Linked DNA regions of Saccharomyces cerevisiae S288C. The gene in region 1 interacts genetically with each later gene. Each region holds a gene or a part of one and is shown in the gene's direction. Other genes may lie near its edges. The genes, in order: RPS6B, SDH1, PDR1 and SOL2.

What was found.
Region 2: mutations in RPS6B (region 1) and SDH1 together harm fitness more than expected from each alone (negative genetic interaction), as found in Saccharomyces cerevisiae (2 studies listed by BioGRID).
Region 3: mutations in RPS6B (region 1) and PDR1 together harm fitness more than expected from each alone (negative genetic interaction), as found in Saccharomyces cerevisiae (2 studies listed by BioGRID).
Region 4: mutations in RPS6B (region 1) and SOL2 together harm fitness more than expected from each alone (negative genetic interaction), as found in Saccharomyces cerevisiae (2 studies listed by BioGRID).

Annotation. Positions count from the first base shown.
Region 1 is NC_001134.8:589,080-595,957, reverse strand, and holds RPS6B (40S ribosomal protein eS6 RPS6B), read left to right. Parts: upstream 1-3,183; coding exon 3,184-3,189; intron 3,190-3,541; coding exon 3,542-4,246; downstream 4,247-6,878. Other genes in the region: YBR182C-A (uncharacterized protein), read left to right, coding at 403-597; SMP1 (Smp1p), read left to right, coding at 1,094-2,452; DTR1 (Dtr1p), read right to left, coding at 4,499-6,217; FZO1 (mitofusin), read left to right, coding at 6,844-6,878.
Region 2 is NC_001143.9:167,191-175,196, reverse strand, and holds SDH1 (succinate dehydrogenase flavoprotein subunit SDH1), read left to right. Parts: upstream 1-4,067; coding exon 4,068-5,990; downstream 5,991-8,006. Other genes in the region: proteasome regulatory particle base subunit RPT1, read right to left, coding at 1-984; AVT3 (Avt3p), read right to left, coding at 1,336-3,414; DBR1 (RNA lariat debranching enzyme), read left to right, coding at 6,368-7,585; MCR1 (cytochrome-b5 reductase), read right to left, coding at 7,745-8,006.
Region 3 is NC_001139.9:466,286-475,715, reverse strand, and holds PDR1 (drug-responsive transcription factor PDR1), read left to right. Parts: upstream 1-3,417; coding exon 3,418-6,624; downstream 6,625-9,430. Other genes in the region: 2-hydroxy-palmitic acid dioxygenase MPO1, read right to left, coding at 1-171; SCL1 (proteasome core particle subunit alpha 1), read left to right, coding at 469-1,227; ERG4 (delta(24(24(1)))-sterol reductase), read right to left, coding at 1,440-2,861; PUF4 (Puf4p), read right to left, coding at 6,909-9,430. UniProt on the Saccharomyces cerevisiae protein: Positive regulator of proteins involved in permeability. PDR1 and PDR3 jointly control the transcription level of both SNQ2 and PDR5.
Region 4 is NC_001135.5:242,024-248,845, forward strand, and holds SOL2 (Sol2p), read left to right. Parts: upstream 1-4,939; coding exon 4,940-5,887; downstream 5,888-6,822. Other genes in the region: RSA4 (Rsa4p), read right to left, coding at 1-329; mitogen-activated protein kinase kinase kinase SSK22, read right to left, coding at 565-4,560; cystinosin-like protein ERS1, read right to left, coding at 6,010-6,792. UniProt on the Saccharomyces cerevisiae protein: May be involved in regulation of tRNA subcellular distribution.

The DNA of each region.
Region 1 (6,878 bases):
AAAATAAAATGCTACCCGAATTCTATTTAGACATATATAACCGGAGACAGATATTTTTTATGTCATGGGGTAGAGTAGTGCGTTTGAAAGTATCAAACAAAAAGTTTCAGGGGCCGGATCTAATCGGCATAAATATTTTCCGATGTCTCGCGTTAAAAAACTTGCGTGATAATCCGTCCGCACTAGTGGGATCGAAAGAAGGGGCGTGGTCAGAAGGGTAACGTTATGTGAAACCCTTGCCTTTGAATCTTTCCTGCTATGCTACGTCGGCCGACACTTCCATTTGAAAAAAATATAAACGATGGTGTTGCCAAGTATTTTTTTTCGCCTTCGTTTAACGTCAGCATTACTAAAAAGGTTAATGGTTGGCGATACTAACTAAAAAGAATTTGTAGAAATGCCATGAAGATTTTCACGCTGTATACCATGATTCAGCAATACTTTTTTGATAATGGCGGTGTTTATAGTATAAAGAATTTTTATTCTGCAGTTCCGAAGGAGAAAATGAACATAATTCTTGTTTCACTTGATTGTGAGCTCCAAAAGCTTGCTCTTAAGCTGTCAAAGAAAACTAGTGGCACTCACACTACGCACTAGCTTTTACACCACATCGTTATTGTTTTCCATTAACGCTTACGTAAATTTCATCTATCATTCTACCTGTACCGTTCCCGATGATAGTGGCTTACAAAACGGCTTGAGGTACAGTTGGTTCGAACTTTTTGCATTATTGTTGCCTTCTTTTTTTAGTAACAAGCGGCGTCTTTGTTTCTTCTGCAAAAATAATCTCGCTCGAGTAATTGGAGGCTTGGCAAAACTTAAATCTCCACGCATACCCGGCTTCCTATGTTCGTGAAGGACTCAAAAACATGAACTATCCTTATCCATCTTTCTTTTGCCAAATTATTTTAGCCAATCTATATAACACTACATCATTCCTTTGAGTCTTTCTTTATCATTCATTCGAAGGGAGAAATATACGAGCCAAATTCAAAGACAGACTATTTTTTCGAGCAGGCCTATCTCATCAGAAAAAAATTTAATAAAGCTCTAGATAAGCAAACACAATTATTTTCAAAAAAATTTCTGCTAAATGGGTAGAAGAAAAATTGAAATTGAACCTATCAAAGATGATAGAAATCGTACAGTTACTTTCATAAAGCGAAAAGCAGGACTATTTAAAAAGGCTCATGAATTGTCAGTACTTTGCCAAGTAGACATTGCTGTCATTATTTTAGGATCCAATAATACATTCTACGAATACTCTTCTGTTGATATGAGTAACCTGCTTAATGTTCATCAAAACAACACTGATCTTCCTCATAATATCATAGAACCATCTGATTATGGTGACTATGTGAAAAAACCACGTGTTGTTCTGAATGAAAGGAAGCGCAGGCGAAGAAGAGCAACCGTGTTGCAACCAGCTTCCCATTCTGGGAGTTGTACAGTTTCGAGTCAAGATTCCTCCAGTGTACAAAACAATGGGAATTTAAGCGCTCCGTTGGCGTCAAATGACGCCGGGAACGCTGGTGTAAGTACACCATTGGTGCATTGCCACGGAGCAATATCACGTAGCGGATCCAATCATTCTGACTGTGCAAGAAATAGTGCAGATTATCAAATGTTGCAAGGCGGTTTAAATTCTGGTGGGAGTTTTCATGCTAATGATTATAAAGAAAGCGTAGACCAACAGCATGTTGCAAACGAGGCTATTCATAGGAATTTTATGAACAAGAGGATTAGGCCGGATACTCATTTACTACTTTCTGAATCTAACCACTCTAATTATCATAATTTTTACCCGTCGCCTTACGAGAATTTGCCAAAGCCTTCATTGCCTGCAAGTTTAGTGGGCAATATTCCATCCTTTCAATCGCAATTTGTACAGGTTATTCCGGCAAATAGTAACCCAATGGGAAAAGGATTTAATGGGACGGGTGACAGCGAGAGCTTTGAAGCAAAGCAAAAGATACACCCGACAGTTGCTATATCAAATACTTTGGAAGGTCCAGCTCCAGTGCAGGCGATGGTCCATCACCTGCACCAACTGAACAGCAATAGAGGAAAGCTCTCAGGGAAGCCATATTTAAAGCTAAATATTCCGAAGGCCACAAATGACGCTTGCCAGAGGTCGCCAGCAATGTATTCAGGAACCGCATCACCGAAAACGGATGTACAAGCCACTCCCAATCAAATGCTCGCCAGCAACATGTCCTCCCCTCTTTCTCGTTCAAAGTTTTTGGGATTCAAGAACAATGATATGGACGACTTATATCATAATGGCCGATGTGGCAGCACTTATGTAAATAACAAAACATTCTTTCTGAAACCGCCAATTGGAAGACCGCCTAAATTTCCGAAAAGCCCGTCTTCATCTATTGTGGTTTTTCCTTCCTCGGTAGCTAGTTCAACTTTGAAATCCACGAGTTCGACAAACTCTCCAGATTAATGAATCGCTTTCTAGCTACTTTTTACTACAAGAAAGCATTCGCTTAAAATTAAGAGTGTATGTTGGCGCATTTAGGCAAACGTCTTCTAAATTAGGGCTATAGACAATTATGTCGCTCGTACATTTTTCAGATGTAGTGACGCAAATTTCTAGCAATTTGCAGGTAGTGCTCCACGGCCCCCTTCCAATTTTTGTGCACTCAATCGATCAAAACAATAGAGACTGCCCTGTTAACTTCTCAACATAATTATGTAAAAAATTATCTCATTAAGCCAGATAGCAAATATATCACATATTGCATTGATTAATTTGAGAAAAATATACATGTATCTTTTCAGTTAATTTTATTAAAAATAAATTATTTCCTTACTTTTTTTTCTACAGTTTGCACCATTAACCTCTTTTCTTGCATCCATACATCTTTGAACTCCATACATCTTATTTTTTTGCTGTTTTTTTTCAGTGTCTCGGGCATACAGGCCGCTTATCTTCATGCCGGCCCATCATCCTAGGAAACTCTTTCGGTATGGGCCAAGGGCAGGCGAAAATCCTATGTGCGTGGAGCTGATACAATCTCGGCTGGCTTGGTTTGTAGGGCACGGTCAATGAATGCCTGATGGGAGAAAAATTCATCTTTATGAAAAGTGATCTTAATTTGAATAGTGTGCCCTTCAAAACATTTGGAAGTCATTAATTGAAACTATCCAGTGTGAATAGACGACTGAGCCATCATGAAGGTATGTAATATCACCCAAATCCTTAGAATTCTAATGAATCAGCACGCGCTAACCGGCTGTTTCTGACTGTTTGATAAACGTATACCCACAAATTAGTGCACTATAATAAAAATTCTCAAGAACAACGTTGTTTAAACGAGATAATTCCCTCTAATATACACGTACCGACACTTAGGAAAATATCTCGCTAAGTTCAAATTAAGGAATGAAAAAGGAATTTACGAAAAGGGTTTAGAAATATCAATGAAAATAAGAAAAACCTGTAACGGAAGAAAGGACAGCAGGGATTCGTTGGAATTTGTCGATATTGGCTTCGGACAACTTTACTAACAAATGGTATTATTTATAACAGTTGAACATTTCTTACCCAGTCAACGGGTCTCAAAAGACCTTCGAAATTGATGATGAACACCGTATTCGTGTTTTCTTCGACAAGAGAATCGGTCAAGAAGTCGATGGTGAAGCCGTTGGTGATGAATTCAAGGGCTACGTCTTCAAGATCTCTGGTGGTAACGACAAACAAGGTTTCCCAATGAAGCAAGGTGTTTTGTTGCCAACTAGAATCAAGTTGTTGTTGACCAAGAACGTTTCTTGTTACAGACCAAGACGTGATGGTGAAAGAAAGAGAAAGTCCGTCAGAGGTGCCATTGTTGGTCCAGATTTGGCTGTCTTGGCTTTGGTCATTGTCAAGAAGGGTGAACAAGAATTGGAAGGTCTAACTGACACTACTGTTCCAAAGAGATTGGGTCCAAAGAGAGCTAACAACATCAGAAAGTTCTTCGGTTTGTCCAAGGAAGATGACGTTCGTGATTTCGTCATCAGAAGAGAAGTCACCAAGGGTGAAAAGACTTACACCAAGGCTCCAAAGATCCAAAGATTGGTTACTCCTCAAAGATTGCAAAGAAAGAGACACCAAAGAGCTTTGAAGGTCAGAAACGCTCAAGCTCAAAGAGAAGCTGCTGCCGAATACGCTCAATTGTTGGCTAAGAGATTGTCTGAAAGAAAGGCTGAAAAGGCCGAAATCAGAAAGAGAAGAGCTTCTTCTTTGAAGGCTTAAGTATGTCTTGGACCTGCATAATTTTTATACTTTTTCCTTTTAGATATATGTACTTTTGGCTTAATTTAATATAATTAACTATAACTTCGATTTTATTCTTTGAAGGTCCAAATGCACGTAATTCATAAACTTATGATGCATTGTTCTATTTCTTGAAGTCCTTGGGATGAGTGATGAGAAAATTTTCTTGAAAGTTAAATAATATAATAAAATTCTAAAAGTTAAATTTTATAGCTAAACATAAACTATTTCTTAAAATTCTTTGGCAGTATATTTTCTTTGAAAAATGAGAAGATATAATATACCAATCAATGAAATTGAACTGCAGAGACCGAGCCCTGTAAAACACCATCCAATTCCCATTGCGTTACAGAGCTGTAAAATGATAGCGGAACTAATGGCAGCGCCCACATTTCGAAAGAAACTACTAACAGCAACAGTTCCAGCAGCTCTTTTGGGGAATAACTCAGTTAAATATGTCATTGATGTGTTGCTGCACCAGGTCATACCAAAGGCAGTGAGAGCGGAAAAAACTAAAAGAACCACAAAATGATAATGAAAGAAGATTGCCCATCCGTATCCTATTGTGCCACATATTGTTAGTAAAATTCCAATTAGGTTCAGTAATAAACGAAACTCTGCCGGGAATTTCTTTTTAGGATGACTTTTGATCCAGCGTGAACGAAGATAATCTGAGAGGTGCCCACCAGATTGAGATCCTAGTAACATAGCTACACCTGGGCAGACATAAGCAGCACCAATTTCTAACATAGTAAAACGGTAGTCATGTTCAAGGTAATACGAAAACGTGACGCTGAACGCATAGTAACTGGAGAACAGGAGTGCAGTACTGACGGACGTGATTATTATTGGAGGACATTTAATCATTTTCCAATATAGTGTCAAACCTGCTTTAGGCGGCTTTGGAAAATTTTCTTGGAAGAAAGCATCATTATTGACTGGTTTACGGATACCAATGTCTGGGAACAGACGCCGATGTGATATTTTATTACCTTCGAAGAATGGAGATTCGTTATTTTCACGTTCATCTTTTTTGTCACCCCATTTAGGGTCTCCATTACCAACTATACAACGTAGCGTTTCTGGAAGTAAAGCAGTAACCAAGATCAATGCTATTCCTGTCATGATAGAAGTGAAACCAAAAAGCCATCTCCAGTAATTTCCTTTCATTAAAATAAGCCCAGCAACAATGGGTGCTATAATAGGACCCATGTTTGGACCCATCATGAAATACGCTATGGCCTTTCCCCTGTGTTTTGGAGGAACAACGTCTGTTACAGTGCCAGCTCCCAGAGAAATCACAGAGCTGGAAGCGAAAGCTTGGAAAATTCTTAAAACAAAAAGGGCAGCAATATTGACTGGTACAGCGGCCAAAAGTATATTAACAATTAACATTAGTGATAACGACACCATATATAAGAATTTCCTTCCACCAAAATCCGCCAGTGCGCCCCAAAACAATGGACCAACGGAAAAAACAGCCATAAATACAGAAACTGTAGCGTTTATTGTTGTTGCACTTACATCATATTCCCTTTGCAGCAATGGTAAAGCCGGTATATATATGTTTCCAGACATTGGGCCCAAAAATCCTATAAAAATGATAATTCCAAAAATGATTAGTCTTTGATCCTTGGAAAAATAAGTATATGGAATATGTGCTTGAGTATCAGGAGAAGGGTCTCTTGACTGGGAGTTCGATGACTTTACAGCAACTTCCTCTTCTTTTGTTTTTGCTTTCTGTGCTGACAATGATGGGGAAGAGTCAGGGTGCTCATGAAAGACATCATGATCTATATTGGCTCTCTTTTGGTTCACCTGATCCCAGCTTTCATTAATTACATCATCTCCTAGATCTTCTAGCGAATGAAATGTTGAGCGGGTTGTTCCACTTTCTTGCGAATTAATTTGCAGACCCAAATTCTTTTTCTGAAACGGTTCGCTTCCCATTGCCTTAATTCTTTTCCCAGCTCTTGAAACTCTTTTTTGAAAAATTACCAACAACAACTTTTCTTACTACCATCCTTCTAGCCTTATCAATATTCTCATATATCTTAAAATTGCAATTGTTGTTACAAAGGAGTTTGTGTCGTTTTTCACCAGGTGACAGAATGTCTGGGTTGAAAGTATCAATGAAAAAAAAAAATGTAGAGAGATGCCAAAACAGTGGCCAACAGGCAGCTTTGGCTACGGAAATGATTTGGAAACCTGCATAAGTATTTCTCCGCGAAATTGGGAAGAGTGATATGGATAGTTGTGATCCACGGTATATAATTCCTTGTGATCCCTTATCTGGCAAGATAGCTATAGTATTACTAATACGTGGCGCTAGTATAATAACTCGCGCAAAGACCGAACGGAGATTAATATTTAAAAGTTGGTGCGCAGTCCGGGTAAATACAGCTTTTCATGCTGAAGAATATGGCCGGGCTAATATTAATTAAGACGGACGATGCATTATTGAAACAGGATAACGCAGGTTACAGTAGCCCTTAATAAATAAAGCAAAGTACATCCGAACATAGCAACATTATCTGATATCACGGATAGAGGCAAAACGGTAGGCTCATTTAACGATGTCTGAAGGAAAACAACAATTCAAAGACAGCAA
Region 2 (8,006 bases), on another chromosome or scaffold:
TTCATTATCACCACCAGCACCATCATCAAAACGAGCACCACCAACAGCGTCGATTTCATCGAAGAATATAATGCAAGCCTTTTTGGTACGAGCCATTTCAAATAATTCTCTAACCATACGAGCACCTTCACCGACATATTTTTGCACTAGCTCAGACCCAATGACCCTAATAAAAGTTGCATCAGTTCTATTAGCAACAGCACGAGCACATAATGTCTTACCAGTACCAGGTGGCCCATATAATAAGATACCCTTTGGTGGATCAATACCAAGAGTAGCAAATCTTTCTGGAGATAATAAGGGCAGCTCGACAACTTCTCTCAGCTTTTCAATTTGGTCTTTACAGCCACCGACATCGCTATAAGTAACGTCAGGCTTTTCTTCAACGGTCATCATAGTAACTGATGGGTCAATCCTTGGAGGCAATGGAAGTTCAATATTATATTTCGACCTATCGACACCTACACGCATACCTTCTTCTATATCTGTTGGAGAAACACGTTCACCTAATCCGACGACAAATTTGGCAATTTGCTTAAGATTTATCACGTACTTGGCATCTTCATCGTCTTCGTCTGCATCAGTAGACTGTTGATTGCTATTACTATTGCTATTGCCGCTGTTATTATTATCTGTCGTAGTTTCGTCACTTTCACCATTCCCCTTAATGATCTTCGTGCAACGAGCGACTTGTAAGGGATGTTCTTCGCCCAGTCTCTGCCTATCACCCATAATATCCCATAGATGGGAGGGTGCTAACCCTGTATCGCTTTCTTTCACACCGGCCTTTTCTTTGATTCTCGCTTCAATGTCTTTTAAGTCATTCTCAGTTTGCTTTAATTTGGCTGCGTATGGAGCTGCACCGTATGATTTTAAGACTTGAATGTCACCTTCTGTTAAGGGTACGATCTTGTCATCATCAGGTTTTTTATCATCGTCTTCCAAAGGTGCCTTGTATTTTTCCCAGTCTTCTTTTGGTGGCATTCCGTATAGTTCCTAACTTCCTTGATTTATTACGATGGTTCAAAAAAATATCTCAATTGAATATTGCTTTGAATTCTCATCTCCTTGGAAAATACTGTATATACCCAGTTCTTTGTATAGTAAGCTGCATGCTAGTTTAGTTTTCGGGTGGCAAAATTCGGTAATCCTATTCACTATACCTTTTCCTCTCGTCCGGGTAAACTCAGCCATACCAAATTGACAAGGATAGTACATTTATGCTAATCATAATTAAAACAAGGTATGTGTGTTCCAGATGCATATAGATAACGAGTCATATATAAATATATATATATGTGTCTGTACATGATGTACTCGGTCAAAAATGGCGGATTACTGGCTCCACATTTTAATCGTCTGCCATGACGTGTAGGCCATGACAGCAACTCCAAATACTATGACGATTAAATCTAAAAGAAGCCTGGCTCTCGAGGTTCCAGATAAGATGGACGCCTTATAGTGCAACAATGGCGGGTATATGTAGATCAATGGGATACACGCGAAGGAGCCTACCAGTGATACAAATTTGTCCAAATCGTTGGCGCCTACCCAAGCGAGGATAGATGTCAGGACGACAATAGCGCAACGGAAATAGTTTTTCAACCATTTGACTTTCGGGTTGTATTTACCAGATGCATTTGAGGGAAAAGTCCAGTTTTCCAAAATACGTATCGCGGGAAATAGCTGCAACGGCGTGGATAACAAAATGGCTAATGCATACAGTAATTGAACAGTGAGAGTATAGGAAGTGTCCTGCGGAAAATTCAATAAAACAACAGTTTTCACGTCAGATCCAAAAGCGGCATAGCATAAGAGACCACATGATATGAAAATCACTGCCACGATACACATCACCGCGGACAACGATGGCCGGAAATGCTTCGGGTGTTTCATTGACTCCTGAATGGGGATAAGTAGGCCTATACCTTCAAAGGTGAATATGGCGGTACCGATGAACAACGACCAGTCCGCTTTATTGAACATAAGCATTGTATCGGATGCGACACCATTAACAGCAATATAATAAATGGAGTAAACGTAAACATAAACCAATCCCAGTAGAATAAATAGATCTGCTATTAACGCGGTCCCACTTAACTTGGCTATGTTTCTTGTCAAAGATAGTGGGACAAAGATGAGTACTTGTGCAAAGATATAGGTGGCTAGACTGATGCTGCCCGGTTTCAAATGGAAGAAATTTTCAGAAAAGACCTGCAAATTAGTTGCAGTGAAAACAGTGTATGCAGCAGAAAACCCGATTTGTGACAAGGCGATAGACGAAAGAATGGCAAATTTCATTTTGGGCCCATATAGTATACGACCCATGTCACCGTACCCATCTACGCCTACTTTGTCCTTGGTGGTAATCAATGATACGAAACATCCATAAGAAATGAGGGCACACGAGAGTAGACAAAGGGCGCTAAATCCCCAACCACCGTTATGGAAAGCCTTTGGTAGGAAAAGCACACCTGTCCCAACAAATGACTTTAACAAGAGCAGCACCGCCTTTACCGTAGATGATTTGTGAGGATGGCGCCCGTGTTCACGAGAAACTAGCTGGGTGCTTTCCGTTTCCAAAGCTTCCTCCTCTGGCTCCTCTTCAGTTTCTTCCTCCTCCTCCTCTTCTTCCGATAAATCTTCACCAGCGAAGTGGCCATACAAGGTCAAAAATTCAATAAAGTTCCTGGTGAAAAAATTCGGTATGGGCGCATCAACGTTATGTTTCCTGCGCTTCTGTATTATAAAAGATCTTCTGAATCCACCAGGAGCCCTGATTTCTTCGTGCGTCATCGGTGCGGGCGCCAGGCCTATTGCCGCTAGAGGATTCCCATTCGCCTCCGAGTTGTTGTTAAGGTGAGAGGAAGATGCTATAGAAGCGGCAGAAAAGCTCATAGACCTTTTACGATTCGAGAATGAGGGCGCTTGTGAAGGTATTGAGGTGGAAAGTGCAGGTTGACTTGGGTACTGATACTGCGATGGTGATGAAGGATGGTCGTTTGTCCACTTATACAGATCTCTTGTAATGTCTCCGCCTTGCAATTGTAGGCTGTTACTCGGGTTTCTTATCAAGTGGCGTGCCACGGCATCTACCACATGTGGCTCAGGGTTATTTATGCTCACTTCAAGCGTGCCATTGTTACAGGAAGTGTGCGACGCGTCGGGTACGCTAGCATGCACCGCTTCATTGTTCACAAGCAGCGGCGGCTTTTTTAGCAAACCACCTGTAGTTCCACTAGATTTTCTACTTCTGCTTCTACTTCTACTATTACCGTTGCTATTGCCACCGTTGCCGTCCGTTAAAGGTGAGCCAGACGCATGCGAGATTCCTGTACTGCCTCCGTTGTTATTTTTTTTGTTGTTGTTGCTCTGCGTTCTTCCAGAGCCACTTGAAACCTCTTTTCCATTCATATCCGCGATGCAATCCCTTATACGCTTCTTAATAAACTTTGCTTCCCACTCTTTCACTACTGACCATCGATCCTTCTTATTTCATAGCCTCACGAGCACAAATGATAATACGAGAAAAAGGCCCGACCGGGTAACCAACCCTTTTACTATCTCTCGCTCTACCTTTAGTAATAATGTCGTCTATATAAGGATTTACTCATACAGTAGTCCAAAATATACCTTTCCGTGCTAAAAGTAGCTCCCAAAAGTAGCGGAGGTGAGGATCATCCTCTATTGCCAGGTACCAAGCTCGCTGGAAAGTCGTTATGGAGTCACGGCTTTGAGGGCGGGGGTGGACCAATCACAGCGCAGAACGCGGCGCCGAGCAAGCGCTGGACCAAGGGATCCGGGCCTCTTCTATTGGTTGTTTGTTTGCTCAAACCCGTTATATATTCAGGCATCCTCGACTCTAACCTTTTGCCACGTCGAGGCGGCTTGAAGCTTAAATAGCACTAATAAACTAGTAGACACATTATAACTAACCAGTAGTATACTTTGCACTTTCGATATTCTTTTCACTAATCTCCTCCCCAACCCCTTATTGAAGATAAAAAGAAAGAAAGAAAGAAAGAAAAAAATCCAATTTCATAGTACGAAGAAGAACGAGAATAAAGATGCTATCGCTAAAAAAATCAGCGCTCTCCAAGTTGACTTTGCTCAGAAACACAAGAACATTTACATCGTCAGCTTTGGTGCGCCAAACGCAGGGCTCTGTAAACGGTTCCGCGTCCAGATCTGCAGACGGGAAGTACCACATAATAGATCACGAGTATGACTGTGTGGTAATCGGTGCCGGTGGTGCCGGCCTTAGAGCGGCCTTTGGTCTTGCCGAGGCGGGCTACAAGACTGCTTGTATATCCAAGCTTTTCCCCACCAGATCCCACACTGTTGCTGCTCAGGGTGGTATCAATGCCGCTCTGGGAAATATGCACAAGGATAACTGGAAATGGCATATGTACGATACTGTGAAAGGATCTGATTGGCTAGGTGACCAGGACTCCATCCATTACATGACCAGGGAAGCGCCCAAATCGATCATTGAACTGGAACACTATGGTGTTCCTTTTTCAAGAACTGAAAACGGTAAGATCTACCAAAGAGCCTTTGGTGGTCAGACCAAGGAGTACGGTAAGGGTGCTCAGGCCTATAGAACATGCGCTGTCGCAGACAGGACAGGACATGCTCTTTTACACACGCTTTATGGCCAAGCTTTAAGACATGACACACATTTCTTTATTGAGTACTTTGCCCTCGATCTGTTGACCCATAATGGCGAGGTCGTTGGTGTCATCGCTTATAATCAGGAAGACGGTACCATCCACAGATTCAGAGCACACAAGACCATTATTGCCACTGGTGGCTATGGTAGAGCATACTTCTCTTGTACCTCTGCTCACACATGTACGGGTGACGGTAATGCCATGGTTTCGCGTGCTGGTTTCCCCTTGCAAGATTTAGAGTTTGTTCAATTCCATCCTTCAGGTATATATGGGTCTGGTTGCTTAATCACTGAAGGTGCTCGTGGTGAAGGTGGTTTTTTGGTTAATTCTGAAGGTGAAAGATTCATGGAACGTTACGCTCCTACGGCCAAGGATCTAGCTTGTAGAGATGTCGTTTCCAGAGCAATCACCATGGAGATCAGAGAAGGCAGAGGTGTTGGTAAGAAAAAGGACCACATGTACTTACAATTGAGCCATCTACCTCCGGAAGTTCTAAAGGAAAGATTGCCAGGTATCTCTGAAACAGCAGCCATTTTTGCTGGTGTAGACGTCACCAAGGAACCTATTCCCATTATTCCTACCGTCCACTATAACATGGGTGGTATTCCCACGAAGTGGAATGGTGAGGCATTAACCATTGATGAAGAAACTGGCGAAGACAAGGTTATTCCCGGTTTAATGGCTTGTGGTGAAGCCGCTTGTGTTTCTGTCCATGGTGCCAATAGATTAGGTGCCAATTCCTTGTTGGATCTTGTTGTCTTTGGTCGTGCTGTTGCCCATACGGTTGCTGACACTTTACAGCCTGGGTTGCCACACAAACCACTACCTTCTGATTTGGGTAAAGAATCCATCGCAAACTTGGATAAACTAAGAAATGCTAATGGTTCAAGATCTACGGCAGAAATTAGAATGAATATGAAACAAACTATGCAAAAGGATGTTTCCGTCTTTAGAACACAATCATCTTTAGATGAAGGTGTTCGGAACATTACTGCAGTAGAGAAGACCTTTGATGATGTGAAGACGACCGATAGATCAATGATCTGGAATTCTGACTTGGTTGAAACTCTGGAGCTACAGAACTTATTAACCTGTGCCTCCCAAACAGCTGTTTCCGCTGCTAATAGAAAGGAATCCCGTGGTGCTCATGCAAGAGAGGATTATCCAAATAGAGATGACGAACATTGGATGAAGCATACATTATCCTGGCAAAAGGACGTCGCTGCCCCAGTGACTTTGAAATACAGAAGGGTTATCGATCACACTTTGGACGAAAAGGAATGTCCTTCCGTACCTCCAACTGTAAGAGCCTACTAATTTGAACCTCATTGTATTTTACGGAAAAGAATATCATACTCTTCTTTAATTGCACTTTTTTTGTGCGTTTGCACTTTTTTACCACTGACTCACTAATTTGTATATATACCTATTAATATACATTTACATAAAGTTTCTTCTTATACATACTCTATTTATTTAGTTATTTATTAACTTACTATTTATTTATTTATTTATTTATTTATTTATTACTTTCAATTTTTTATCGAGGCATTTCCTTAGTTCTCCAATTTTTTTTCTCATTAGCCAGATGTGTGTTTTTCTGGCCCTCACAAAAAATGAGCAGGAGAAAGTCATATGGCGAACGTAAATATGTAACTAAAAATTAAGATGGGCAGACATTTATCATTTTGCTTATGACTAAATTGCGAATTGCTGTACAAGGGTGCTGTCATGGTCAGCTAAACCAAATTTATAAAGAAGTGTCACGAATCCATGCGAAGACTCCCATCGATCTATTAATTATTCTTGGAGATTTTCAAAGTATTCGTGATGGTCAGGATTTTAAGTCAATAGCCATACCACCAAAATATCAAAGACTCGGTGATTTCATATCATACTACAATAATGAGATTGAAGCCCCAGTCCCTACTATTTTTATTGGCGGTAATCATGAATCGATGAGACATTTAATGCTTCTGCCACATGGTGGTTATGTAGCAAAGAACATTTTTTATATGGGATACTCTAACGTTATATGGTTTAAAGGCATAAGGATAGGTTCATTGAGCGGGATATGGAAAGAGTGGGATTTCAATAAGCAACGACCAGATTGGAATGACCTAGAAAATAACAATTGGAAAGCTAACATAAGAAATCTGTATCATGTAAGAATTTCTGATATTGCTCCTCTTTTTATGATCAAGCATCGTATTGATATTATGCTGAGCCACGATTGGCCCAATGGAGTCGTTTATCATGGCGATACTAAGCACTTGTTGAAGCTTAAGCCTTTTTTTGAGCAAGATATTAAAGAGGGAAAACTAGGCAGCCCAGTGACCTGGCAACTACTAAGAGATTTGCGGCCTCAATGGTGGTTGAGCGCCCATTTGCATGTCAGGTTCATGGCCTCCATTAAGCATAATAAAAGAAGCCACGAACCGCCTAATAAGTCAACTTCAAAGACAAAAAAAAACAATAATGAAATAGATTTGGATTTATCCAGTGACGAGGACGAAAGGTCTGGTATTATGAATTGCCAAGAAGAGAATGAGTATGATTCCAAATACGGCGAGACACGGTTCTTGGCGTTGGACAAGTGCCTGCCAAGAAGACGTTGGTTAGAAATTCTGGAAATAGAACCGGATACATCGCATGCTTCGTGGAAGGACGAGAATCACCGTATGTTCTGGGATCCTGAATTTATCAATAATTTGGTAATTTGTCAAAAAAATAAGAATCTCCTAAGCAATAAACCGTTTAATAGCGTCAATTGGATAGAACTGTCTCAATCTAATAGAGAGGAAGGAAGGGATATTGATTGGGAAAATTATGCCATTCCTGCATACACCTTAGATATTCAGAAAGATGAAGTACGACAAACTAAAGCATTTATCTCTAAATTCATGACTTGAGAGATATTTCTATTACGAATGCAGACGGAATTAGAGCTTAAAGCCAAGCCTTCTTGAGAGAATTTTTAGTCATACACATGAATATATATATATTTTTTATATATTTACTAATTTGAACGATCCGAAATTAAAAAAAATATCAATTACTTTCCTCCATGCTTAAAATTTGAAAACTTGGTCCTTGGAGTAGCCCAAATTGTTCAAGATACCGATCAATTCACCTTGGTCCTTAGGTGACTTCTTCTCACCTGAGTAAGCGTTCATAAATGGTGGGGGACCGCAGACAAACAAATGTGTGCTTTCCTTTGGACCTGGAACATGCTCCTGAATAAAATCTTTGGAGATGAAACTAATTTCACCATCAAAGTCTTGGTCATCTTGCTTGTCGTCAACAAAGTAAGTAACATTGAACTTGTCAGGA
Region 3 (9,430 bases), on another chromosome or scaffold:
CACAGCAGTCAATGAAATACTCTGATATATTTTGACTCTGTGGAGCATACAGCTACCACTAAATAGGATTGTGGGGACAAATATGGAATGGATCAAAACGTTCTTAGGATTGTGGTGGTAAAACTTGTAAAATCCAAGCTGAGATCTTAAATCCAGCAAACCTTCGCCCATATTTATTCTTTTATAACAGAAGAAGAGACTATATTCTCAAAACCTCGTATATTTATATACATATCCTCCAAACAAACTCCCAAGTTTCACTTTCCTGGATTTACCTTGGCATTCCTTTTCCCCATCCTCTTATAATGGTAATCGCGATCCTTAATTATGATATCACAATAGACGAAGGGCACACACCAATTTGCCACCGTAAGGATAGAGTAAGTTAAATGGCTAACTCATTATAATCTTCATGCTAAATCATATAAGGGCAGAGACGAAGCAAAGCGAAAAAAACATATTACAATCATGTCGGGTGCTGCTGCTGCATCTGCTGCTGGTTATGACAGGCACATCACTATCTTTTCCCCCGAGGGTCGTTTATATCAAGTAGAATATGCCTTTAAAGCGACTAATCAAACTAACATAAACTCACTAGCGGTCAGAGGTAAAGATTGTACAGTGGTGATAAGTCAGAAAAAGGTCCCTGATAAACTGTTGGATCCAACTACTGTTTCGTATATTTTTTGTATTTCAAGAACAATTGGTATGGTAGTGAACGGACCAATACCGGATGCAAGAAATGCGGCCCTAAGAGCCAAGGCTGAGGCTGCAGAATTCCGTTATAAATATGGTTATGATATGCCATGCGATGTATTGGCTAAGAGAATGGCTAACCTTTCCCAAATCTATACTCAAAGAGCATATATGAGACCATTAGGTGTTATACTCACATTTGTTTCGGTAGATGAAGAATTGGGTCCCTCCATTTACAAAACTGACCCTGCAGGTTATTACGTTGGCTACAAAGCTACTGCGACAGGACCAAAACAACAGGAGATCACAACAAACTTAGAAAACCATTTCAAAAAGAGTAAAATCGACCATATTAATGAAGAATCATGGGAGAAGGTGGTAGAATTTGCTATTACTCATATGATTGACGCACTGGGTACCGAATTTTCAAAGAATGACTTGGAAGTCGGTGTCGCTACAAAGGACAAATTCTTTACCTTGAGTGCTGAGAACATCGAAGAAAGGCTAGTAGCAATTGCTGAACAAGATTAACATACTTCCTGCCACAACATAATGTGAAATCACACGCGTCAACACTCAATATATGTATGGACACGTTTCATTTAGGATTTATTTTATAGGAAAAAGTAGATCAAGTAATAGAAAATCGAATCTTTTCAAGCCCTTTTGTCGCGTAAATACATCAATACTTTTATATACAAACTGTAAAATAAGTTAATGAAGTGGATAGAAAAAGAAAATAACTAGAAAACATAAGGAATAAAGACGTAAGGGCAATGTTTACAATACTCATCCCAATCTTTTCCGTACTTTCTCTTACATTTTGCTTGGTCTCTGAAGGCTCTGTGAATCAGGACAACAAGGAAGAATACTGGGAAAAACCATGGGAACACCGAGTTGAACCCGCAAGACAAGGCCCAAACGAGAGATTGAGTCCAATCGGCAGTGTAGTGAATTTTTCTAGCCAAAGTGTACCAACCATCAATCAATAGGTACGATCCATTGGAGGTAACCATATACTTTGGATTCTTCAAAATTTGGTATGGCAAAAATGGGAAAGTCTTCCTACCTGTCTTGTCACCAGACATTTGCTTTCTGAAGGCATTTTTCTGAGCATTTGCCGTGTCAAAGAAGTAGTAGGCGCATAATAGAACAACGTACAGCGAAACATTGTACAGTGTAGACCAGTGATATTCAGATGGGTCATGGTAGTACAAATACAACGTACAATGACAGTAAGTGTATGGGACACCGGCAATATTCCAGAAGATCAGCATAAATCCAAACTTTTCGTAAGCCATGTCCCAGGTTGGAACAATCAATTCTTCACCTTTAGCACATGCGTTCGCGTACAACCAATGAGCTAACATGACAACCCCCAATTGTGGTGTCACATAGCCGTAAGTCTCCCACTGCTTCAAACAGGCACCCAAAGTGATAAAGTAAAGGGTGAACCAAGGTAATCTAACCTCGAAAAACATCTTCAAGTCCAAAATCCCCCACCTAGGGTTTAGTGGAGCTCCCATGAAGAAATCATATAGATGGTTTCCTGTCATTCTATGATAGTCATGTGAGATAAATAAAGTCCATAAGTACAATATGATGGAGAAGGCAAACCCTGAAATAATGGCACATGTCATGATCCTCCCAAAACGGTCAATAATGACATACAATCTAAAAAGATTGGTAAAGTGCAAAACCAAGACCAAAGTGGTAGTTACATACAAGGTCCACATGGCATTACAAAAGTAAGGCAATTGTTTTCCCTTCAAATGAGACAATGGTTGACCTTTTGTCCAAATCCCGGGCAACGTATAGTAGAAAATGATCTGAAACACCCAAAATGTTAAGAAAATAGTCCAGTCATACTTTTCTGGGATACCGTTCTCCAAGACTAACTGGTATAGGTGCTTGATAAAGTGCATCCACGATTCACCAGCCTTGGGTAGGGCAACCTTACCGTGATAAAATTCCGCACAAATCCACATATAGTACATTAGCAGTGGAAACCCGATCAGCATACCAATAACACCAGTAGTCCCACCAAACTCATATTCGATTTCATTTGGCTTCAGCCATTTACCCTGAGGCAGGAAATTAACCGGTTGCTTGGACTTTTTCTCCTCTCCCTGCACCTGCAGCTTCTCACTATTATCCTTTGCCATAGCGATGCTAATCTATGTACACTACGTAAATATCCGTATCTGCCTATCTACATAACTGAACTACATTCCTACGTTATTACCACTGTTTGGTAATTTTTCCTCGAGGATATATAATTCTGCTTTTCCATAGTAACGCCAAACGATCGCGTAATACCGGCAATTACGGGATGCACGAAAATAGCGCCAAGGAACGAAAAAGAAATGAGTCTCGTTTAGTTATTAAACGAGAAGAAACGAGCCCTGATTTACATTCTCAGGGTCCAATAGGGCTTTGTTGGAAACAGACGCATACCCTAAATGGAGTTTCTTTTCTTGTTCAAGACCTAATGAGTGGCAATAAGAGGCGCTAATTAAAGCTCTTCAAAACAACCTTATTCGCCTATTACACATGATCAGCCACTCTTTCATTGTCAACAATAGCATGATAGCAGGACCATAGCGGCCATATAGACATTACCAGGAGTGAGTTTTGGCTAAAAAAAGACAATTTGCACATCACTTGCTAACTATTCATCTCAGCCAAGAATATACAGAAAAGAATCCAAGAAACTGGAAGATGCGAGGCTTGACACCTAAGAACGGTGTACATATTGAGACGGGTCCGGATACAGAATCGTCCGCGGACTCCAGCAACTTTTCTACAGGTTTCAGCGGCAAGATTCGTAAGCCAAGGTCGAAAGTAAGTAAAGCGTGCGATAACTGTAGAAAAAGAAAGATAAAATGTAATGGGAAGTTTCCCTGCGCAAGCTGTGAGATATATTCATGTGAGTGCACGTTCAGCACTAGACAAGGTGGCGCTCGAATAAAAAACCTTCACAAGACGAGTTTGGAAGGTACAACCGTACAAGTCAAAGAGGAAACAGATTCCAGTTCGACTTCTTTTTCTAATCCTCAGCGATGTACAGACGGGCCATGCGCAGTGGAACAACCAACGAAATTTTTTGAGAATTTCAAGCTAGGTGGTCGTAGTAGTGGTGATAATAGCGGAAGTGATGGGAAGAATGACGACGATGTGAATAGAAACGGTTTTTATGAAGACGATAGCGAATCACAGGCAACTTTGACATCTCTACAAACCACTCTGAAAAATTTGAAGGAGATGGCTCATTTAGGTACACATGTAACCTCAGCCATCGAGAGCATTGAACTTCAGATAAGTGACTTGCTTAAGCGATGGGAACCCAAAGTGAGGACCAAAGAATTAGCAACAACGAAATTTTACCCTAATAAATCAATAGAAACTCAATTGATGAAAAACAAATACTGTGATGTGGTACATTTGACAAGATATGCCGCTTGGTCAAACAATAAGAAGGACCAAGATACTTCTAGTCAACCTTTGATCGACGAAATCTTTGGTTTGTACTCTCCTTTCCAATTTTTGTCACTTCAAGGTATTGGTAAATGTTTCCAAAATTATAGATCCAAATCCAAATGCGAGATTTTTCCCAGGACCGCCAAGGAAACCATATACATCATGTTAAGGTTTTTCGACGTTTGTTTTCATCACATCAACCAAGGCTGTGTCTCCATAGCTAATCCCCTGGAAAACTACCTACAGAAAATGAATCTTTTACCTTCAACCCCATCTTCGATATCATCTGCAGGGAGCCCGAATACAGCACACACAAAATCGCATGTTGCGTTAGTGATAAATCACTTACCGCAGCCCTTTGTGAGAAATATAACCGGAATAAGTAATTCTGAGCTACTAAGCGAAATGAATAATGATATCAGCATGTTTGGCATTTTATTGAAGATGTTGGATATGCATAAAAATTCCTACCAGAACTTCCTAATGGAAATCACATCTAACCCCTCCGTGGCTAAAAACACGCAGTCAATTGATGTCTTGCAGGAATTCATCCATTATTGTCAAGCTGGAGAGGCGCTAATCGCCTTATGTTACAGCTATTATAATTCTACATTATACAACTACGTGGACTTCACATGCGACATAACGCATTTAGAGCAACTTCTATACTTTTTGGATCTGCTATTTTGGCTATCGGAAATATACGGTTTTGAAAAAGTCTTGAACGTAGCAGTTCATTTTGTTTCAAGAGTTGGTTTATCAAGGTGGGAATTTTACGTGGGTCTTGATGAAAACTTTGCTGAAAGAAGAAGAAATCTCTGGTGGAAAGCTTTCTATTTCGAGAAAACTTTAGCCTCTAAACTTGGCTATCCTTCGAACATTGATGACTCCAAAATCAATTGTTTATTACCTAAGAATTTTCGAGATGTTGGGTTCTTGGATAATAGAGATTTTATCGAGAACGTCCACTTAGTTCGCAGGAGCGAAGCTTTTGACAACATGTGCATATCCGACTTAAAATACTATGGCGAATTAGCTGTCTTACAAATAGTCAGCCATTTCTCATCATCTGTTTTATTCAATGAAAAATTCACGTCAATTAGGAATACATCAAAACCATCTGTTGTTAGAGAGAAACTACTCTTCGAGGTACTCGAGATTTTTAACGAAACAGAAATGAAATATGATGCTATCAAAGAGCAAACTGGAAAATTGTTCGATATTGCATTCTCTAAAGATAGTACTGAACTCAAAGTTTCAAGAGAGGATAAGATTATGGCTTCAAAATTTGTTCTATTTTACGAGCACCATTTCTGCAGAATGGTTAACGAATCTGATAATATTGTCGCCAGATTATGCGTGCACAGAAGGCCCTCAATACTAATTGAAAACTTGAAAATATACCTTCACAAGATTTACAAATCATGGACCGATATGAACAAAATCTTATTAGACTTTGACAACGATTATTCCGTATACCGTTCGTTCGCCCATTATTCTATCAGTTGCATTATTTTGGTATCACAAGCATTCTCAGTGGCCGAATTCATTAAAGTAAATGACGTTGTGAATATGATTAGAGTCTTCAAAAGATTTTTGGATATAAAAATTTTTTCCGAAAATGAGACCAATGAGCATGTCTTCAACAGCCAAAGCTTTAAAGACTATACAAGAGCTTTTTCTTTCCTGACAATCGTCACTCGTATCATGCTTTTGGCATACGGAGAGTCCTCTAGCACCAACCTCGATGTTATCTCCAAATATATTGATGAGAATGCGCCAGATTTAAAAGGTATAATAGAACTTGTCTTGGATACAAACTCTTGCGCTTATCGATTTTTATTAGAACCTGTTCAGAAGTCAGGATTCCATTTAACGGTCTCACAAATGTTGAAAAATAGAAAGTTTCAGGAACCACTAATGTCAAATGAAGATAATAAGCAGATGAAGCATAATTCGGGAAAAAATTTGAATCCGGATCTCCCAAGTCTTAAGACGGGCACTTCATGCTTACTAAATGGCATTGAATCGCCTCAATTGCCATTCAATGGTCGCTCAGCACCTTCCCCAGTGAGAAACAACTCACTACCGGAGTTTGCACAATTGCCTTCATTTAGGTCATTATCCGTGTCTGATATGATCAATCCCGATTACGCGCAACCAACAAATGGGCAAAATAATACGCAAGTCCAATCTAATAAACCAATCAATGCTCAGCAGCAAATACCCACTTCAGTACAAGTACCATTTATGAACACAAATGAAATCAATAACAACAACAACAACAACAACAACAATAAAAACAATATTAACAATATTAACAACAACAACAGTAACAATTTTTCTGCAACTAGTTTTAATTTGGGGACACTAGATGAATTTGTTAATAACGGTGATCTTGAGGACCTCTACAGTATCCTGTGGAGCGACGTTTATCCAGATAGTTAAACGTATACGTTTGTATAGATAAAAGTTCTCAAAAACTTCCTTCCTTTTTTTTTTCTTTTGAGTTTACTTATTTAAATAAGAACATTCTGTTTTCTAGGGCATCTCCTTCTCTTATTTCTTCAACACTATTTACCAGTATACCATAAAGTGAAAATTCCTATTTTTTTTGCTTTGGATATTCATTTGATCCTCAACGAAAAAAAAAATGATGTATTTTAGTATTGTACAAAAGATATTATATGAGGCTAACGTAAAAAAAGCTAAACTGAGGATATATGTATCAACTATGAATCTAAATGTAACATTCCGATGATTCTTTTACCATGAGGTGTATTTCTTATGGGGCCCACCAGTAAAGGCGCCACAATCTCTGATAGTCTTTTATAGAGATAGTCATTTTGCTTATGAGAAATGTCTAATGCTGTCTGTAAAACGTAATTTCCGTAGCTATCATTCAACAATGATTGAATACCCGTCTCGCCACCATTATTTAAAATTTCCAGAATCATTGGCTCCGAAACAATAGCTGTCTTCAAGATTTTTTCAATCACATTTGATCCAAATTTATGGATAGAAAGTTCGATGGCTCTTGGTTTCAACAGGTGGACAATTTTATGCGTATAATCATATTTGTTCTTCTCAGCCTCTTTGGTAATTATATATTGCACCACATAGTTGCCAAATGGATCCAAAGTTAATTTATCAACAAGGGCTAGCAACTTATCACACAGATTGTCACATTGTTCTGTAGTCCCATGATCTAGACAACGTTGCAAAACGCAACACCCGTGTCTATGAGTAGCAATATCAATACAGCTATCAGAGATTGCGTCAAAGATAAACTGGAAGTTTTCAGGCTTCAACCTTTGCAAACATTTTTGAATAACATGATTACCATTTAAATCCTTACTCAACTGGACAGTATAAGGGCGTAAAGAATCAACAACAATCTGTGCTTCTTCATCTGTTTTGATGCATTCAATGAGTTTTTGTAATGCCCTAGTACCATGAGGGTTTAAGGAAATTTCGACAAAATGAGGGGAAGATATTTTTGTGAGTACGATTCTTTGTTCTGTGGTAACCTCTTCCAATAGCTTCTGGATCAAATAATTACCGAATGAATCAGTCATCAATTCAACCGTATAATCCTTAGTTTCTTCAAAAATTGCGTCCGCCGCCTTACTGCCGAGAATATCCAACTGCTTTTGCAGAAAACGACAACCATGTTGGTCTTTACACAATGAGTGAATACTTCCGATATATTGGTCTAAAACTGCGTCCGCAAATCTCGACGACTCCTCAATTTTACGTTGTTTTTCCGCGCTGTTGCTGTTGGTAGCATTACTGTTATTATTATTATTGTTATTATTATTATTATTATTATTGTTATTATAGTAGCCATGATAACTGTTTTTCATATTTTTCATTTTACCAACGTTAGAACGACCTGTGTCTTTATTGTTGTAATTAGAATTACCAATGTTGTCATTGTCATTATGACTTGACATGCTATTGTTATTACGACCATGATGTTTATTATTGGCGCTATTCATTAACGGCATATGATTTTGAGCCAACAAATGAGGCGGAACCATTGCGTTGAAGGGAGGTGGAGTGCTATAAAGCCAGGGAGGAGGGGGGGTGTTTTGCTGGGGAGGTAATATGTGGAAAGGTTGCATTGATGGCCCAAGATTAGGATTTATTAAATCCATCCTAACATTTGGACCCGCCTTGTCGTTATCGGTGGTGGGCTTACCACCATCATTCTTCATATCTGAAAAGGCAACAGAATTTGAACTAGGGTTTAAAACTGGTGCAAGATGAATTGGCGATTGGGTTAGAGGAATTGGAGAATTTGCATTTAGTGAATGACTCGTAGGATTTAAAATCGGAGAGAAAGGTTGAAATTGCGCGCCCATTTCATAAGAATTAGGAAAAGGTGATCTAATACCATAGATAGGGGAGGATATATTATGTGGGTGGCCTGGCATAATAGGATTTGGTTGAAGTAAAGGTCCCCCATATGGATATGCTGCACCATAAGTTGTAGGACTCTCTTTTTTAGCTGGTGCAGTTTTATTAATCAAATCCTCCTTCGAGGTTTCTATTTTGAAATCGGATAATTTCTCAGAAACACTATTGGTTGGGGGTATAAATGACGTTGAGGAGGGAGTATTATCAAAAGATATGGATTGAGTTCTGGTTTTTGCAGTATTGTTAGCTCCTACAGACGGTTTCTTAGCCTTAGAAAAATTCTGCATGTCAGATTGGAAGTCCTTTGACAAGGTTACATTGTTGGCCGCATTGATAAGGTCAGTTGGTGATAAAGCATGAAAAGTTTGTCTTCTGAACGAACTAGCCTTATTATTAGACTCCCTGCCCTTAGATGGTAGGCTTTCTTGTAGAGTAGCGGTGGTTTCTTCAATGGCTACAGATGCTGATCCTGGTACGTTTGAATGAGTCCATAACGGATCAGCCGATGCGATTGGCAATACCTTCATTGAATTGTCATTTATCAATGGGTTTAGATTTTGTCCACCTTGAGTTGCTACCGCAGCACCCGAAGACAGCATTTGAAATGGAAGTGAGTCATTCTTGAATAACATTGGTGGACCGCCTGCATTCAAGGGCGAGCTACTCAATGGTGCTGTTGGATCATTAAAATCAGGGGGCGGAAAAAATGGACAAGGATTATGAGGAACCTGCATCATTTGAGAGTAGGGCATGAAGCCCATTCCACCCATCATTTGTGGATGTGGAAACATTTGCGACGGAGGGCCATTAGCGAATTGAGAATCTTGAGAAA
Region 4 (6,822 bases), on another chromosome or scaffold:
TAGCCTGGTTTTATTAATGAAGAATATAGGTTATCTGTTATATCAATCGTCTTCACAGGGTCACTGGCCTTCTTACCTTGAATTGTACAGCTGAAGGTATATGGCACTGGATCGTCTGAAGTACCGTTCAATTGATTTAAAAGTTCTTCTAACTGTTTCTCGGAGATAGCACCGGGAACTCTCAGGGCGCCACCTACATTGTCACCAGTATCTAAAGCTTGGAACTTGATTGAAACATTGGGTAAATCTTTCGGAATAATAGCTACTTCTCTGGGAAGTTGAGCCTCTTTCTTTTGTTTCTTAGAAGGTGGAGGAATCAGGGTGGACATCTGTATATTGTGTTAGTGTGTGTTTATCGAGGTTACAAATATAAAAATCTTGTGATATATGTCTTTTAAAGATACTCTTTTTGAAGCTCATCGCATTTTTTTTTTTTTTTTCATTTTAAAATTTTTCACCGGTTTCTCGGGTAACAGCTCTAAATGAAATCTTGCCTTCATCACCATTATTGAATTACATTACATTATATATCGTAGTATATCATATTTTTAGACGTTGACCACTCTATGAGCTTAGGATAGGTACTTGATCTTTCTCTGAGTTGCCAAATGCTATTTCACGGATTTGTATCATCCAAGGGTCTATCAGTAGTTCCACAGCAGTAGCCCTCATAGTGGGGTCTTGAACCAAACACCTTTCCAAGAAGGCTCTTCCCGCTGCAGTCATTTCGTCTCTATTGGGTAGTTGCGGTATTCGACCTGCAGCAACGTGGTACATGATGGCCCATTCATTATCCAAGTTAGACCAAGGTCGTCTACCTGTGGCCATTTCTAGCACAACACATCCTAATGCCCATACATCGTCCGCTCCAAGTTTTCCCTTAACTGCCGAGCCTGAAATAGTCTCTGGAGCCATATACATCGGTGTCCCCATCATTTCATTGAGGGACTTTGTTTCTACTCCAAAATCTTGAACGGCTGCGTTCCGCACAGTTCTAGTCCTAGATCCTACAACGGTACGTGCCGTACCAAAATCCACATATTTTATGATTCCATTGAAATCCAGCAAGATATTCTCCGGTTTAATGTCGCGATGCACCACGCCAGATTGGTGCAAATATGCCAAACCTTCTAATAGTTCGAATGTGTACACTTGTGTTACCATTTCATCTTCAATTCTTCCATGATCCAATAACGAGGCTAAAGAACCACCCTCACAGTATTCCATGAAGATGTTAACTTTATCGCGATGTACTTCGACACCATAGTACTGGACAATATTAGGATGGTTTAACATTTCCAATACGGTCATCTCTTCTTTAATCAGGGGAAAAATCTTCTTCATTGTTGTGGTATCGTGTATCTTTATTTCCTTAACAGCTAAGATTTCACCGTTTTCCAGATTAATTGCAGAGTATACCTGTCCAAATGTTCCACCGCCAATGAAGCTTCTTTTTTGCCACCTCATTGATACATTCGATAATGAGGATGCTAGCGATAGTAGGTATTTGTTTCCCTGATCTGTAGCATCCAATACCTTACCCATTTGCCTGGGATTCCTCTTCATAGTCTTTTCCAACGTCTTTATAGCTTCCAGTCTCAACCTGCTGTTTATTTCTAGGGTGGCCTCTTCATCAATATTCTCTTCAGTATCAATATTCAATCTTGCCTGTTGCATGCCATTTTCAGCTTCAGTGGCTCGTGCACCCATAACGTCGAAATGTGAAATTAATAATGACATACATACTGATACCCTCTCCTTCAGTTCTTGAAATTGCTTTACATTCAGCGCCAGGATATTATAACCACTAGTCATCTGCATCGCAAAATCCATTGCAAGAACGCACCATCGGAAAGTTCGCTGATCGGTAGGATCACACTCTTCAACAAGGAATTTCAACCAGTTCATTCCTAATTTAACCATCAGAAAGATGATAACGTACTTCCTCTTTGAGCTAAAGGCGTTATATTTAAGGAAACTTCTTCCAAAATCCCTTCCAAACATGAATATCGAATTTAACAACTCATTTCCCGGACATTGCTTCATAAAGCTACCTAGAATTCCTTTGTAGTTGTTCAATACTGTATAAGTAAGTTTGTAATATGCCTTATTGATTTTTTGTAGGGAGGATTCAATTGAATTGAGTGAACAACGTTTCTCTATGAATGAAACAGAATCACCTACCGTTTGATTAAACTTGTCGATTTGATAAGTCAGTGCATAATTAGAACCTTGATTGAGTAAAATCAACGTATTTGGGTTACCAATTTTCCCTAAATCCATTTCGTTGGATGCAAAAAGGTTGTTACCTGGAAGCTTATATACTGGTCCATCCCAAACTACTGGCTCTCCAGGATATAGTACAACTAGTGCACCCAATGAGCTCAAAGCAACTTCCAATTCAAAAACTTCATTGTTCTTTTCATCAAGGTGCTGATCAAAAGGGTCTGTTGAAAAATTCTTCTTTTTGGACTGATGAGCATGCCTGTCCAAATCACTTGACGAATTTGCTACTACTCGGTAGTAAGGAATTCCTTTGGAATCCTCCCCTTTCGATACTAGAATGTTCAAATCTGTTTCTTTTGTTGTTATATCATACACATTCAAATTATTTCCAATGTCAAGCTTTGGGACCAAATCACAGCCAATGGATTTATTTCGCAAAATTCTTAAGATGGTATCATTGTCACAACCTAATAATTCAGGAGCAGCAAACATATATACACCACTAGACTCAAAAGTGTTACCGGAGTATACCAAAAAATAGTGAGCATCTTTTAACTTTTTAACAAGTTGTGCATTATGATTAATCTGATAAACAGCAGAATTTTGGAACGCCTTGACTAGAATATTGCTGAACCTGTTCAGCTTTCTTTTCATGGCACCCAAATTTTCGAAAATGGAACTTAGCCATTTTTCTGCTTCTGAAGCGTTAGCAAATGTTGGTGGGAAGTTTTGTTGTTTCAAAAGATAGAATTGCAATTTATGTACGAGTCTCAAAGTTAACTTGAGAAATTCATTTGGAATCACGGTTTCTGCACCGTTAATATAGTGACCGGTGTTTTTTAGGTGATCCCAGTATTTCAAGAGTAGATCGGGTGCTTTGAAATTTTGTTTACTGGAATCAATCAACTTTAAATTCAACAGAAAAAATAAATAACGAATGGCTTCTATTACAGTATTTTCGAACGTCGGGTCAAAATCCACATCGAACGGCAAATTGGAGCAATATTTTGTCAGTGTGTACTTCAATTGCACAGAAAGTCGAATAAAAGCGTTAAAATCATCGATCATTTGATCGATCATCATCATTGTTGGATTTTTAAGCTTTCGTGCATATGACAATCTAGTCAAAATAACTTCTTTGATTAAATAGACGGGGAACGCCAGTAGTGATCTTAACCTTTCATAAGGATATTTTATGTTCATCTTTGTCAAAGTTTCTCTGTAGACTATAAAATGTAGTTTCAGTTTGAACATCCAAGGTGATAGCGGATAGAAAATTTTTTTTTGGAATATAGACTCGATGTTCTTTTCCTTCATCAATTGTTCTGCAAGAATCTTCATTTTGCAGTTCCATTGGGGCACACCATCAAAATCCTCTTGGCAATTATCCGAACTACTTATCGGTGAGAAACGGTTTATCCAGTCGTCCAACTCTTGCCTCCTCAACGTTAAGTTCGTTTTAAAGTTCAGCCAAGAATTCATTACGTCTATTCTAGCGGTAAATTCTGCAGTATTGGTGATTGGTTTATCCTTATACATTTTTTTCAAGTTAGGCCAATAAGAGACAACGCTGTGATATCTGTTCATGAGGTCTTGTAAGATGGCCTCCAGTGCATCCAGGCTCAATATCTTGCCCTGTGGAATTTGAAACTTCATTATCTCTTCAAAAACGGAATCTGAACTATCTCTTAAATATGTAAGCGACTGTTCCATCTCTTGCATGGTCCTCCCATTCAGCCATGCCTTCAATTCGAGCCATATCTCATCTGAGAGCTCCTTATTTAACCCTGGTTTCTTGACTTGGTTAGCAATCCTCGTCTTTTCACCTTTAACAATATCTCCCTTCAGCACTCTGGCCAGCATTGACTGCCATTTGAACCGTTCGGTCGCAATTTCATTCCAAGCTAGTTCATCACTGTCTGACCTCATTTTCCTGCAATAAGGTGTAGTGGAGAAAAACTTGACACCTGAGTGCAGGTCTTCATCAATTCTGTCGCCATTAGACAACCGAATAATTTCGTCATCACCGTCGTCTTCCTCGTAGCGGTTAGTGAGTTTTATGCCCCTCGTGTAGTAGTCATCTAAAGCGGTCTTTTTTAGCTTTTTCAAGTATAGCGATTCATTGAAAACGTATCGGTCCTTAAAAGTCAGCTGACTGGGGCCGTCGCTTATTGTTTCCGAGCCACCCAATGCTTTCAAATCAGATCTTGATAGTTTATGGCTGGAATGACTTGATAATCTCTTCACGAGCTTACTTGAGATGGTATGAGGAGCCAGAACTCTCCCGCCTTCAGCCGCTTTTTGTTGCTGTGTATTCAGTATATCCATCATCATTTTCACCTACAAGGAACTACCTTTTATAGCCACCCTAAGTAAAACAACATTAGCTTAGCATCCTCAATTCTTATCGTATGTTGTTGCTGCTATTTTTATCCTATTGTTCCTGGCATCGCTTTTTTACATAAGGTACCAAGGCAAGAGAAAAGACCCGCGAAATTTTCAATTCGAGACATAGGGTTAATACGAAATATGTTAAGGTCTAGTTTCCAAAAAATGAAGAAAATGTGATTAGACATCCTGGGGAAATTAGGTTTAAATAGGGCGGGCGCTACAGGGGTTTTCCTAACAAATTTCAATGATAATAGTGGCATCATCATCGTCATATCCAGTGTAGGTATGGACTAGAACAGAAAGCAATTTGCAGCAAGACAATATGACTACGACGGTACCCAAGATATTCGCGTTTCACGAGTTTTCAGACGTGGCAGAGGCCGTAGCTGACCATGTAGTCCACGCGCAAGACGGTGCATTGGCTCCAAAGAACGAGAGGAAACACTCTGTTCCCAACATCAGCATGAATGCACTGGATATGACGAGAGAGGCCTCTTGCAAAAGCACAGCATCTGCCGCGGAAGGGAAAAGTGGTAGCAGTGGTAGTGGCAGTGGTAGCAGTAAGCCCAAAAAGGAGAAACGGTTCAAGATTGCTCTCTCCGGTGGGTCATTGATCGAAGTGCTACACGAAGGTCTGCTAAAACGAGACGATGTACGGTGGGGAGACTGGGACATTTACTTTGCAGACGAGAGACTTGTACCCTTCAGCTCGAATGAAAGCAATTATGGATGCGCCAAAAGGAAGATTTTGGACCTGATAGACACGGCGAAGTATGGAACTCCGAAGGTGTACCACATTGACGAGTCATTGATTGACGACCCGCAAGAATGCGCTGATAACTATGAAAAGGTGCTAATCCGCGGGTTTGCCGGTAGAGATTCCGTCAAACTTCCGATGTTCGACTTGTTCCTGCTTGGTTGTGCCCCCGATGGTCATATCGCATCACTCTTCCCTAACTTCCAGGACAATCTACGTGAGAAACTTGCATGGGTGGTGCCCGTGGAGAACGCTCCTAGTGGGCCCTCGACCAGAATTTCGCTGACTATACCTGTAATCTGCCATTCTCACAGGGTTACTTTCGTTGTCGAAGGTGCAACCAAGGCGCCCATCATCAAGACCATTATGGAAAGGCCTGAAAAGGGCCTACCTAGCAGTATTGTCAACGAAGGTGCTGCTGGTCGTGTATCATGGTTTGTTGACGACGATGCTCTTACGGACGTCCTCGTCACCAAAAAAAAGTATAAATTCCACCAAGGTTTGTCTATTTAAACCATGCATGTGTGTACATACATACATACACACATACATACATACATACATATATTTATGTATATTTATGTATATATATATATATATATATATGCGTAATTATGCAGATTTCTCCTTGTGTGCTACAGCGGGTACTCTGACGCCAGATCATGGCCTCGAGATCGATATACAAACCACTGCATGATAAAGATGAAGTTGAATATTAAAGTTACCATTGACAGTCCCACTTTTCCAAAATTTGTCACGAACGTATCCAGACTGAAACCTTGATCGTTAGACAACTGCCAAATCAATTGGAGCAGCGAGGCGATACCGCCAGTGACATCTAGAAACACACCCTGAATGGGGAAACAATCCATAGATTTTCTTGTCGAGTTATGCGTCACTTGTGGGATGTACTTGATTAGTGACATCGATATTTTGAGTAAAAACAAATTGTTGCAATACGCCAGAGTTCTTGAGTTATGCCAATCGTACCAGTAGTTGGAGTACATAAATTGTACGGTTAGCAGTGAAAAAATGGCCAGTGATGCGAGTAAAATCCTTAGGTACCATGGATTCATCTTGCGGTGACCTTTACCTGGAAATCGCCAGATTCTCGCTCCAGCTACCACCTGGGTCAATAAGACAACATTCATCAAGCACCCATGCAGGCAATACCAGAAATCAAATTGCGTCAACTTGGGCCTGCCCAAGTCAGACTCATCACCCGTCATTTTCCAGCAGTACAATTGCAAAAATATGGATATGACCAGGTAAGAGTAACCTGCCGTATTTAACATGACAAAATCCATCGATATCGCGCTCGCTGACTTATGGCGCCAATTGGTGATTATCGGTGGATACATCGATATCGACCATGACGTAACATACACGATACCTAGTATATCGTCTAACGACACCATTTTGCTTCGCGTTTGCTTTTGTTTGCTTTT